Callithrix jacchus: one gene and its partners. The main gene of each other region encodes a partner of the protein of the gene in region 3 in a complex. Links are inferred from orthologs where the notes say so. Each region holds a gene or a part of one and is shown on either strand. Other genes may lie near its edges.

Region 1 (3,747 bases), on a different chromosome or scaffold from region 3:
GCCTGTTAACTTTGTAGTTCCTGGAATTCACCCAAGTTGTCTTTTGACTGCTTAACTGTCTCATTCCTCCAACTCCCGTAAGTTCCTAGAGAAAAGAATTGGAGCTCAATGACATTTGTTAAATGAATTTTTCAAAAGCAACAGTATTCTATTACTGGAAAGTGTTACAGACAGAAATTGTGAAATTTTTCCTTGGGCTTCTTTCAATTTCGTTGAATTCTCGTCCAGTATTCTCATAACATTTGGATCAGGTACTTTATCACCTTGTAGTGTCACTGTTCCTTTCTGTATCCTCTCGAAGCCTCCTGTTATTCGTTTCCTAATTCTCTCCCAGCCCATTGCACGATCTAGTGTGGAATGGATGAAAGAGCAGAGCAGAACAGTTCTTCAGCTGTCGGCCTAAATGACTAACTTCATGACCTCTCAAGGTCTCGCTCCACGGCTGCATACAGCTCAGCTTCCAACATTCGGGAGAGGCGTCCCGGGCTCGCGATGGACCGCGGGGCCCGAAGGTCGCGACGCGCAGGGGTCTGCTGCGGCCAGAGCTCTCCGGAAGAGGGAGGCGCCCGAGCAACGTGGGTTTCGGGAACCGTGAATATTTCACTTTGCGTACAGCCCCCTAGGGCAATGACACCCAGAACCGAGGGCTTCTTTACCCCTGCCAGGGCCTCCCTCCCGTTCTCCAATCGGAACAAACAACCTGCAGTTCCCACAGCTGCAGCGCGGGCCGCGGAACACGCGACGGGCGCGGGGCCCGGGCGGGACTCCGGAGCTGGCGCTGCTCCCCCCGCGCTCCGGCGCCGGGCTTCTCCGCGCGGCCTCCTTCCTCCCGCCCGCTCAGCTGGAGGCGGCGGCGGAGGGGAAAGGCGCGGCCCCCCCTCGGTGGCACCTCCTCCCCGGACAGGCGCGGACGGAGCCGAGCCCGCCTAAGCCGGCTGCGGCGGGAGCAACGCAGCGCGGCGCCGCGGGCAGCGAGCTCCGCATTCGAACCTCCCTCGCAAAGACAGTCTCCGCCCCACAATGCACTGCGGCGGGCAGCCTTTGAAAAAGCGGCGCGGCTCGTTCAAGATGGCGGAGCTCGACCAGTTGCCTGACGAGAGTGAGTAGCACCTCAAAGCACCCCCACTTCCCGCCCGCCGCCTGCTCCGCGGCTGCACCGGCCGGGACGGCCGGCTGTGCCCTCCGCTGGGCAGGTGGGCTGACTGCCAACTCCACCGTGGTCTCCTAGTCCTTCCACTCCGGTGTTGCCGCCGCGTCGCCGCCTTTGTTATGGTGTCTGTGTGTTGGTTTCTAGGGTTGTGTGAGCGCCAGGGCCGGAAACCGAGAGCCCGGGAGTCCAGCCTGTGCCGGGCGGAGGCGGTGGCTGCTCCCCTGGCCCGACTCCTGCCCCCGGCCGAGGTGGGGGTTAGAGCGGCCCCCGGGCGTGGGGGCTGTCCTAGCCGCCTGCACCACTCGCCCGGCGCGGAGAGACGCTCGCCGGGGTTATGTAACTCGCCTGTCCCGGGGCCGGGGGAGGGCTCGGGCTCGGCACGGGGTGGTCCACGGCCCCATCTTCTTGCCCCAGCCTCTGATGTTGTCCTGTCACAGCTCCTGCTTCTACGAGCACTTCTGATCTTCACTGTCCTCTCCGCCCGCCCCCCCCCCCACCCCACTGGTGTGTCCACCCCTAGAAGTGTTTCCGTGTCAGAGGGTTAGCCCCTTCCCCTGGGACCACAGGTGGCTGTGGACCTTTCCCGAGATCATCCAGCCCGGATACTTAGTGTTCAGGTAGCCCCCGTCCCGAAGACTTTCTTCTGTATGTGTCTTAAGAGCCATAATGTACCTTTATTTTGCATGGATGTGACCAACACAGCGTACGTGTGCAGTACCCTCCCTGACACCCACTCTAGGGCATTGCCTCATTTAACCATGTTTACTCACCCTGACATCTAAGACATGTATGCTCACTTGTGTTGAGTAAGTAAAAGCACCAATTCCATAGTTTAAGGGCAGTGGAACTTGATTTTGTAATTTACAGCATTGCATAAATTATATGAAAAATCAAATATGTTAGTTAATTACAAAAAGGTCCTGAATCCACATTCACTATTCAGTTTATACATATCTGCGAAAGGCTCAATCACTATTGAATCTATCTGTGTACAAGGCAAATGAGAACTCAGCATACTGCCGATTCCATTTTCTTTGTGAGGTCATGTATTCTTAATAAGTTGTAAAGTTAGGGGCCGGGCGCGGCGGCTCACGCCTGTAATCCCAGCACTTTGAGAGGCCGAGGCTGGTGGATCACGAGGTCAAGAGATCGAGACCATCCTGGTCAACATAGTGAAACCCCGTCTCTACTAAAAATACAAAAAATTAGCTGGGCATGGTGGTGCGTGCCTGTAGTCTCAGCTACTCAGGAGGCTGAGGCAGGAGAATTGCCTGAACCCAGGAGGCGGAGGTTGCGGTGAGCAGAGATCACGCCATTGCACTCCAGCCTGGGTAACGAGAGCGAAACTCCGTCTCAAAAAAATAAAAGTTATGAAGTTAAAAATTTAAGTTGCCAAGCTGGTGAAAAGTTGTATTAAAAGTGTTTGTGTTTTAAATTTGATAGAAAGCAGCGCCAAGTCCCAAAGGAACTTTGTCGGTGATGGAATTGTTTTCTTTTGTGATATCCCATAAGGTAGCCAAGCCACATGTGGCCATGGAACATTTCATGTGGCTAGAGGGATGGAGGAACTGAATTTTGAATTTTATTTAATTTTAATTTGCATAGTCACATGTAGCTAGTGGCCACTGTATTGGATAGGGCACAGCTGTTGACCAGCCATGAGTTGTATTGTTTATTTGTAGAATACAATTGATTGTGATTTAGAATGTTCCCAAATGAGTGTAGACCTACTAAGCACAGTGTTCTTGTTATCCAAAAATGTTTTTCATCATCCTTGCTATCTTTATCATAAAGATGTCTTATCACCTCTTGGTGTCATGATCACTAGAGCCACTATTTTGGTTAATGATAGGCATTTTAAGTGGCTTTCTTACAATTGCCATCAGGAATATTTGCTTCATATCATCCAACATTTATTGACAATTTACTGTGGTTCTTTGTAGGAACTTGAGATTTATACTAGGGTTCAAATTCCAGCTCCACTCTAAAATTAACATAACCTAATCACTTATATTGCTTTATGACATCTCTGGTACATTGGTGTGTATTTGTGAAGCATATGTCTTGTTTAGCCAGACTTCCGCTCTGTTGAAACCAGGGATTTTCTTTCATTGTTTGTCATACAATGCCACAAGTCAAGTATCCATAAATACTTGATTTCTATGGAATTGAATACAAAGTAACAGGTACTATTAATGAAACTGGAGCCGGGTCTTGAAAAGGAAAAGCAATTTCAATATGATACTGGAAATAGAAGTATGTTTTTTGGCCACATTTAGTCAAGGGGGCTAGCTAATACCTTATCCAGTAGTTGATACATTATCAATAATGAAAGCTACCATTTATTGAGTATTTACTGTGAACCAGATGTCATGCAAAGCATATTATATGTTTTTGCTCATTTAATCTTGATTTCAGTTGTTGTAAGTACTCACATTTTATATGATGAAATCAAGGCTATCTTCAGCCCAGATCTTTCCTGAGCTTCCTTTTTTGATGTCTTGCCTATTTCACATTTCTTCTTAGATGCTTCAAAGGCCCCTCAAAACTGCACAGGTTCAAAATCCACCTCATTCCCACCCCAGGACAGATACTTC
Region 2 (3,747 bases), on a different chromosome or scaffold from region 3:
AGAGTGACAGCAGGGACCGGGCAGGGCTGGAGGAGAGTGGGCGAGAGCCAGAAAAGAGGAGGCTCAGGAGTAAAAGGGTGTAAGGCCAAGAGTAACAGCTCGGGTGGGATCCGGGACGAGGTAGGGTATGAAGTGAGAGCTGCGCATGGGACAGGGCCGCACAGGTCGCGTAGGAACACGAGGTCCGGCCAAAAAGGGGCTGGGCCAAAAAGGTGGTCCCGCCCGAGGATGGTTCACGGAGTGGACGGAAAAGATCTAAGTCCTGGCTTCATGGTCCCTTGGCACCACCCTCACTCGCCTGCAGGATCCGGGCTCGCACTGCCGCCGCCGCCACCACCGCCGCCATGGCTCTCGGCCTCCCTAGCTCCGCACCCTGCGCCTCTACTGCTCAGAAGCACTACAGCTGCCAGGCCTCGCCCTCCATCCTGACTGGCTTCCTCATTGGTGGGTAGGACTATTTTTTCCAGCCAGTCACGCGAACCAACACCTGATTCCGCCCCTCACACGCCAGTCCTGTGAATAAGTGATTGGTCAGGAGCGAAAAAGGTCTCGCCCTCTCCCACTTCAGCCAATGCTGTTGGCGGAGGTAGAGAAGACGCCCCTGACTTGGACACTCCATACTGTGCACACGGGGAAGACGCCCCCTAACCCGGAACTCCGATTGGCCAAGGGCGCAACCGAGGCCCCGCCCTCTCACCGAGAAAAGTAAATAAGACCCTCCAAGAATTTTGCAGTCGCTCCACCTCAACAACTGCGCGAGGGGCGTGGCTATAATTAGGGGCGGGGATAGGCAAATGTTGCCCTATGAGGCGAGGGAATGAGACTAGGCTGTGAGTTGGGGATAGGGTTTCTCTTTGGGGGAGTGGCTTATGGATCCTCGTTTTCCCGCCGACGGTTGGCCATGTCACGTGACATGGGTTGGAAGATGGCGTCTCCCACAGACGGTAAGAGCCGGCTTGTAGATCTTTGCCTGCAGCCTCCTTCTTTGCTCTACCGGCAACGTCTACTCTGTCTCTGCCCCTCAAACATACATTTCTTTCTTGGGCTCTTCTCCTTTCCCTTTTACTTTTTTTCTTGAGATCCATCGCCGTCTTCAGCTCACTGGTTCTTCACAGCGGCTCCGGAGGTGCCCAGTTTCCCCGCTCTGTACCAGGCGTGTGGAGGAGGGCACCAGGGAGGGACTCACTTTGGGTAAAAGGACAGGGGGTTGCCCTGATCCTTCCTTGTCTCTATTTGGGTGAGGCTGAGAGCCTCGGAGGAGATGTTAGTGGAGGAAAGGACGTGCCTTAAACTAGTCTCCTCCTTGGAGTATCACACTGAGGGATCAGTTTTCTTCTGATTGAGCGCAGGGATGGAACGATTCTCACAAACTCTAGCAGTGGCTGCTGGCTGACCTCATCTCGATACTGAACCGCAAGAGAAACATGATCTCTCTCCTGTCTCTTGTTTGGGACCACTGCCGTGGCAGCAAGATAATCGGGGGACGTTCTCGGCCCCTCACCGTGAGAGTCGCGAGGAGAATGAGTATTGAGCTTTTAAGTGTTGTCTTGCACAGGTCGCAACCTCTTTTGCATCTGCTTTTTGTGTTGTTTCTTCAGGCTGAGTGAATGAACGATTTCTGTTTATGTATTGTAAAATGCAAGTCATTTCAAGTAACAATTAGGTTGTCTTGGTATATTCCTATGCTTTTGGTCTCGGTTCTGCTTTAGAGAGTTAGGGTCTTGCAGTCATTTTTAAACTCATTTTTGTTTCTGTCGTTCCCATCCCAACTATATATATCGATTTCATTGATATATAGGTTTCCCTCCCTTAGACAAACACATTTTGTATTTGGAAGGAATCTTGAAAGTTCATTACAGGAATGAGGAAATTGAAGCCAAGGTGAGCTTTATTAAGTACCTGCTACATGAAACGCATAATGCTAGGTGCTTTGAGATTCCAAAAGATTACTCAAACATATAAATATTTTTTTTTCAATTTCAGATCTTTTTTTAGATGTCACCTCCCAAAGAGTCTCTTAGAACACAGGATCTGGAGTCGCTCTTCCCCACCATTATTCATTATCTCAGTGTCTTCCTTGTCAGCATAGTAATTCTGTTAACTTTGCCCCTTTTATGCTAGATTATAAATTTCAAGTTTGTCTTGTTTATAGTTGGATCCCAGGGTTTAGCACAGTGCCTGGTGAACAGTAGGTCTTTAATTAGCATTTATTGAAAGATTGATTAGATATATGCAGAAATAATATATTACTTGATCTTAAGTTTTAAGATCTTGGGAGGCTGAGGCGGGCAGATTGCCTGAACTCAGGAGTTCAAGACCAACCTAGACAACATGATGAAGCCCAGTCTCTACAAAAAAAAAATACAAAAATTAGCTGGGCATGGTGCCACACACCTGTAATCCCAGCTACTTGGGGGGCTGAGGCAGGAGAATCTCTTGAGCCCTGGGGTGGAGGCTGCAGTGAACCATGTTCATGCCACTGCACCAGGCTGGGTGACAAAGCGAAACCCCCGTCTCAACAACAACAAAAAAGAAATTATGGATGTTTGGAGTCAAAAGAGAGTCTCCTGCCTGGGTGCTCTCTTGCTGAAATGTCCTTCTCTTGCCAGAAAGAAGGGCATTTAAAAAGCAAGGCGAGGGAATAGGGAGTTACTGTTAACAGGTACCAAATTTCAGTTTAGGTAGGTGAAAAACATTCTGGAAATGAATGTGCTGATGATTGCACAATTAATGTACTTAATACCACTGAACTGTATACTTAAAAGTTGTTAAAATGGTCAAATTTATGTATATTTCACCACAATTTAAAATAACAAAGCCAAGTGATAGAAGTAGAGGTAATTGTTATTAAATTTTTTAGTTTATTTTTAAATTGTTTTTACAGATTTGGGGGATTTTAAAGATGTGTTTCTTGAGTTGGATTTTTTCCCCTGTCTTCTCAATTTAGTTTCCTTTCTTTGGCCAGGAAGAGTATTAAAAACATTGTATGTTTTTCCTTTGGTCTTCTAGCCATCTTTATGGTCACTTTATTTGCACTCTTTATTTTTTAAGTTTTCATTCTTATCTCTTACAGAGTTTCACTCTTCTCCACCTAATCTTTTCTTTTTAATCTGACAAAATCAAGTCGAGCACTTTGAACTTAATTAAATTCATCTTCTAAATAAGTAACTCATTCTAAAATATTCCATGGCCTAGCTCTCTCACTTCTATTTTTAGTGTTCCACCTGTCACTGTCTTTAAAATTTAATTCAAACAATATTGATTTAAAAATGTTTTTTATTTACTCTTTTGTCTTTTTCATGCTAAATTTGCTGGAACTTCTTTGAAAAGGAGAAAACTGAAATTCAAATACAGCCATCTAATTACTTAATTTGTGAGAGTAAGACTCACAGCAGAGTTCTGTCCCAGATTGTGGTATCATAAGGTCACCGGTGTAGGTTATAGATCCTACCCTCAATGATTTTTTTTTAAATTTTCTTTTAGAGACAGGGTCTCTCTCACTCTATTGCCGGTGCTGAAATGCAGTGGTATGATTATAGCTCCCAGCACACTGAAAGGCTTAAGCTATCATTCCATCTCAGCTTCCCAAGTAGCTGATACTACAGGCTCACACCACCATGCCCAGCTAATTTATTTTTGTTATTATTTATTTTGTTTTGAGATGGAGTCTCATACTGTCATCCAGGCTGGAGTGCCATGGCACCATCTTGGGTCACTGCAACCTCTGCTTCCTGGGTTCAAGTGATT
Region 3 (3,747 bases):
ACAGAAGAATTGCTTGAACCCAGGAGGCGGAGGTTGCAGTGAGCCGATTGTGCCCTTGCATTCCAGCCTGGGCAACAGAGTGAGAGACTCCGACTGAAAAACAAAAACAAAAGCAAACTAAAAATAAGCGAGCCAGATGTGGTGGTGCATGCCTGTGGTCCCAGCTACTTGGGAGGCTGGGGTGGGAGAATTGCTTAAGCCCAGGAAGCTGAGACTGCATTGATCCTGCCACTGCCCTCCAGCCTGGGCAACAAACAAATTCAGACCCTACCTCAAAAAACAGGTGTGGATCACCAACAAACTTGCTGCAAAATGAGTCCCATTTCCCAGAGAACCTGACCTGAAAGAAACAACAATGTTAAAAATAACAAAATGGCCGGGCGAGGTGGCTCACGCCTGTAATCCAAACACTTTGGCAGGCCAAGGTGGGTGGATCACCTGAGGTCAGGAGTTTGAGTGAGACCTGCCTGACTAACATGGAGAAATCGCATCTCGACTAAAAATACAAAATTAGCCAGGTGTGGTGGTGTGGGCTTGTAACCTAGCTACTTGGGAGGCTGAGGCAGGAGAATCGCTTCAACTCGGAAGGCAGAGGTTGCGATGAGCTGAGATTGTGCCATTGTGCTCCAGCCTGGGTGACGAGAGCGAAGATCCGTATCAAAAAAAAAAAAAAAAAAACTCTCTCTATAGATATACCCGTATATATATGTAAATTACATATATGTAAATATATATATATATATAAATAACAAAAATTAGCTGGGCTTGGTGGTGCGTGCCTATAGTACCAGCTACTCGGGAGGCTGAGGCAGAAGAATCACTTGAACCCGGGAGGGGAGGTTGCAGTGAGTCGATATTGCACCATTGCACTCCAGCCTGGTGACAGAGCGAGACTCCGTCTCTAAATAAATAGGAAAACAAACAAAAAAAAGGAACAGGTTTGAGGGAACAGATTGGGTTAGTTGGGTAGTGTGGTCTCCTCTCCCGAGATGGGTACTGCACAGAGTTGGTGATGTTGGGGCAAATTGGCAAGGAAAGTTCCGATGGCGCCCCTTTCTCTACTGCCAGGGCTGCCAACTGACATCCTCCTCATTCCTCCCCAACTTCATCCTCAACTCCCGGTATACCTAAGTAGTTTTCGTCTTATTAGGCGGCTGGACATTTGCTAATGGTCCCTAAACTTTTGCGGCTGCGCCTTCAGACAAAAATAGCGCCGCGTTCCCTAGAAGGGACATGCGGCGGAAGCGGAAGAAACGACTCTGGCTCCGGCGGCTAGGAGGGCAGGAACGGAAGCGGAAGTGGCGGCGGCGCCGGCCTGGCCTGGCTGAGGGGAGGCGGCGGGCGGGTGAGATGGCGGAGGCCGGGCCACAGGCGCCGCCGCCCCCGGGCACTCCAAGCCGGCACGAAAAGAGCCTGGGACTACTCACCACCAAGTTCGTGTCGCTTCTGCAGGAGGCCAAGGATGGCGTGCTTGACCTCAAGCTGGTGCGGCCCGGGCTAAGGGACGACAAGGCGGGGTGGTGGACAAGGCCTGAGCCGGTAGCGGGAACCCCGGGGGCGGCCAGGCCGGGTCCTCAGAGAGCTGGCCGCCATCGTGTGCTTTCTCACAGGAGAGAGGCCGGGGGATCTTTCATTCATTCAGCCGAGGCCATTGAGCGACAGCTATGGGCCAGGCTCGGGGCTGCAGGTGTTTGTCCTCGTGGCCCTTCCTGGCTGGCTGGGAGAAGAGCTTCAGAACACCAGTTCAGGGCTGTGCGCCAGGTCTCTTCTCACCCTGCGGTCCTGAGCTGCAGTAGCACCTGAGAGGCACTACAGGGTTGGAACCCAGGTTACTCCCTTCCCAGACCACGTCTCAGGGTGGCTGGGGGTACACCCGAGAGTGGAGCTGATCATTCTCTATTCTGTCTGCCAGGCAGCTGACACCCTAGCTGTACGCCAGAAGCGGCGGATTTATGACATTACCAATGTTTTGGAAGGTATCGGACTGATCGAGAAAAAGTCCAAGAACAGCATCCAGTGGAAGTGAGTGGGGATAGTGGGAGGGTAGTAGAGTCTCCCACCCAGAAGTGTCAGGGGTGTGGGGTGGAGGATGTGGAAGAAAGCAGGGGCCGTGGGACCCAGAGTTCTCAGCAGTTCCTCTTGGCCCCACTCCCTGGGCTCAGGGGTGTGGGGCCTGGCTGCAATACCCGGGAGATTGCCGACAAGCTGATTGAGCTCAAGGCAGAGATCGAGGAGCTGCAACAGCGGGAGCAAGAACTAGACCAGCACAAGGTGTGGGTGCAGCAGAGCATCCGGAATGTCACAGAGGACGTGCAGAACAGCTGATATCCTCCTGACGGTCTCTGCTGTGGCGAGTGGGCAAGGGGCCCTCTGGTTCAACTTGCCCTGAGCCCTCTCCCTCTTGGGAGCTTGTCCTGTAGCCCCTAGCCGTGTCCCAACCTCAGGCTCCCTCCTCAGAGCCCCTTCCCAGTCTTAGCCTGTGATCCCTCCCCAGGTGGACCCCAGTCCCCAGAACTTTCTCCGAGGGCCTATGTGTCAGACTTTGGCTAAAGAGTTGGGTCTTCTCTGTAGTCTGCCGTCTGTCACCATAGGGCCATTCTCCTTAACCCTCACACTTTGGCCTACGTCACTCATGAGGACATCTGCAGATGCTTTGCTGGTGAGCAGAGCCTGGGTAGGGACAAGGGGGTGGGCTGGGGCACTGGGCTCAGTGTCTCAGGAGACACTGTCTCTTGAGTGTCTCTCAAGAGGGTTTCTGGGGCCTGCTCAAAGAGGACCCAGGCAGGGTAAGTCTTCTGTCTGAGGGGCACTGGGACCCTGTGGAGGTCAGCTGTACTGAGAGGGTACAGGAATTTTGGAGTGAGTCCCTGGGTTTGTTCCCATATGCACTGTTACCTGGATTTGGCTTCTTGGGCATGACAGAGGCACAAGGGAGAAGAGGGGGAGAGAGGATATGTGTGTATTTGCTTGTGTGCAGACTCTTACGTGCTCGTATGCAGGGTATGGGGGTGCCCACTTCCAACCTGTTATTTACTTGTATTGTGAATACAGGATCTATTCCTTTTTCTTTTTTTAAAGAGACAAGGTCTCGCTATGTTGCCCAGGCTGGTCTTGAACTCCTGAGCTCAAGCTGTCTAACTGGCTTGAGCCCCTAAAGTGCTGGGATTATAGGCCTGAGCCACTGTGCCCTACAGATGTGTTTCTTCTCCATCTTGCATCCCCAAGGCTGGTCATGGGAAAGGGATGTTGGCCTTGGCTAGAACACCTTCACCTAGGGATCAGCCATTGGTGGAGTGAGGTGCCTGTGGCCAGTGATCTTTCACTCCACATACTTGAACTCAGATTTCCTGGTTACTGACCCTCAGAAAGAGAAGAGCTTTAGTTCTGCTCAGCCACTGTAGGGGATTGGTGAGACCCACTGACTAGCCCCTCAGAGACTATGATCTCCTGCCTTGCTCCAAAAGGCAGGCACCTCTGTTCCCAGCTCAGATTTAGCCTATGGGCTCTGACCCATTCTCTGTCATTCTAGGAGATACCCTCTTGGCCATCCGGGCCCCATCAGGCACCAGCCTGGAGGTGCCCATCCCAGAGGTGGGTGCTTAGCCTAGGCAGGCGGGGTCAGCTGAGGGCGGGTGCTGGCTGTGGAGTCTGATAAGTCCCGGGTGGGGCAGGTAGGGGGAGGCCTGGAGTTCGGGGTTATCTGGGAGGATGGGCAGCCTGGGTGGGAGAGGATACTGTGGTCCTGAC

The links. The genes of interacting proteins can lie anywhere in the genome.
Region 1: E2F4 (region 3) and LIN9 share a complex: the UniProt entries of both Homo sapiens proteins name them as parts of the DREAM complex. The link is inferred for Callithrix jacchus from reciprocal best matches to the Homo sapiens genes E2F4 and LIN9.
Region 2: E2F4 (region 3) and LIN52 share a complex: the UniProt entries of both Homo sapiens proteins name them as parts of the DREAM complex. The link is inferred for Callithrix jacchus from reciprocal best matches to the Homo sapiens genes E2F4 and LIN52.

The regions. Positions count from the first base shown.
Region 1 is NC_133520.1:22,938,923-22,942,669, forward strand, and holds the start of LIN9 (protein lin-9 homolog), read left to right. Parts: upstream 1-930; 5' UTR 931-1,020; coding exon 1,021-1,099; intron 1,100-2,247; exon of another isoform or gene 2,248-2,481; intron 2,482-3,747. Other genes in the region: uncharacterized protein LOC144580374, read left to right, coding at 493-930. UniProt on the Homo sapiens protein: Acts as a tumor suppressor. Inhibits DNA synthesis. Its ability to inhibit oncogenic transformation is mediated through its association with RB1. Plays a role in the expression of genes required for the G1/S transition.
Region 2 is NC_133509.1:109,031,691-109,035,437, forward strand, and holds the start of LIN52 (protein lin-52 homolog), read left to right. Parts: upstream 1-906; 5' UTR 907-913; coding exon 914-944; intron 945-3,747.
Region 3 is NC_133521.1:24,702,916-24,706,662, forward strand, and holds the start of E2F4 (transcription factor E2F4), read left to right. Parts: upstream 1-1,303; 5' UTR 1,304-1,350; coding exon 1,351-1,485; intron 1,486-1,912; coding exon 1,913-2,022; intron 2,023-2,162; coding exon 2,163-2,324; intron 2,325-2,615; coding exon 2,616-2,659; intron 2,660-3,529; coding exon 3,530-3,591; intron 3,592-3,747. UniProt on the Homo sapiens protein: Transcription activator that binds DNA cooperatively with DP proteins through the E2 recognition site, 5'-TTTC[CG]CGC-3' found in the promoter region of a number of genes whose products are involved in cell cycle regulation or in DNA replication.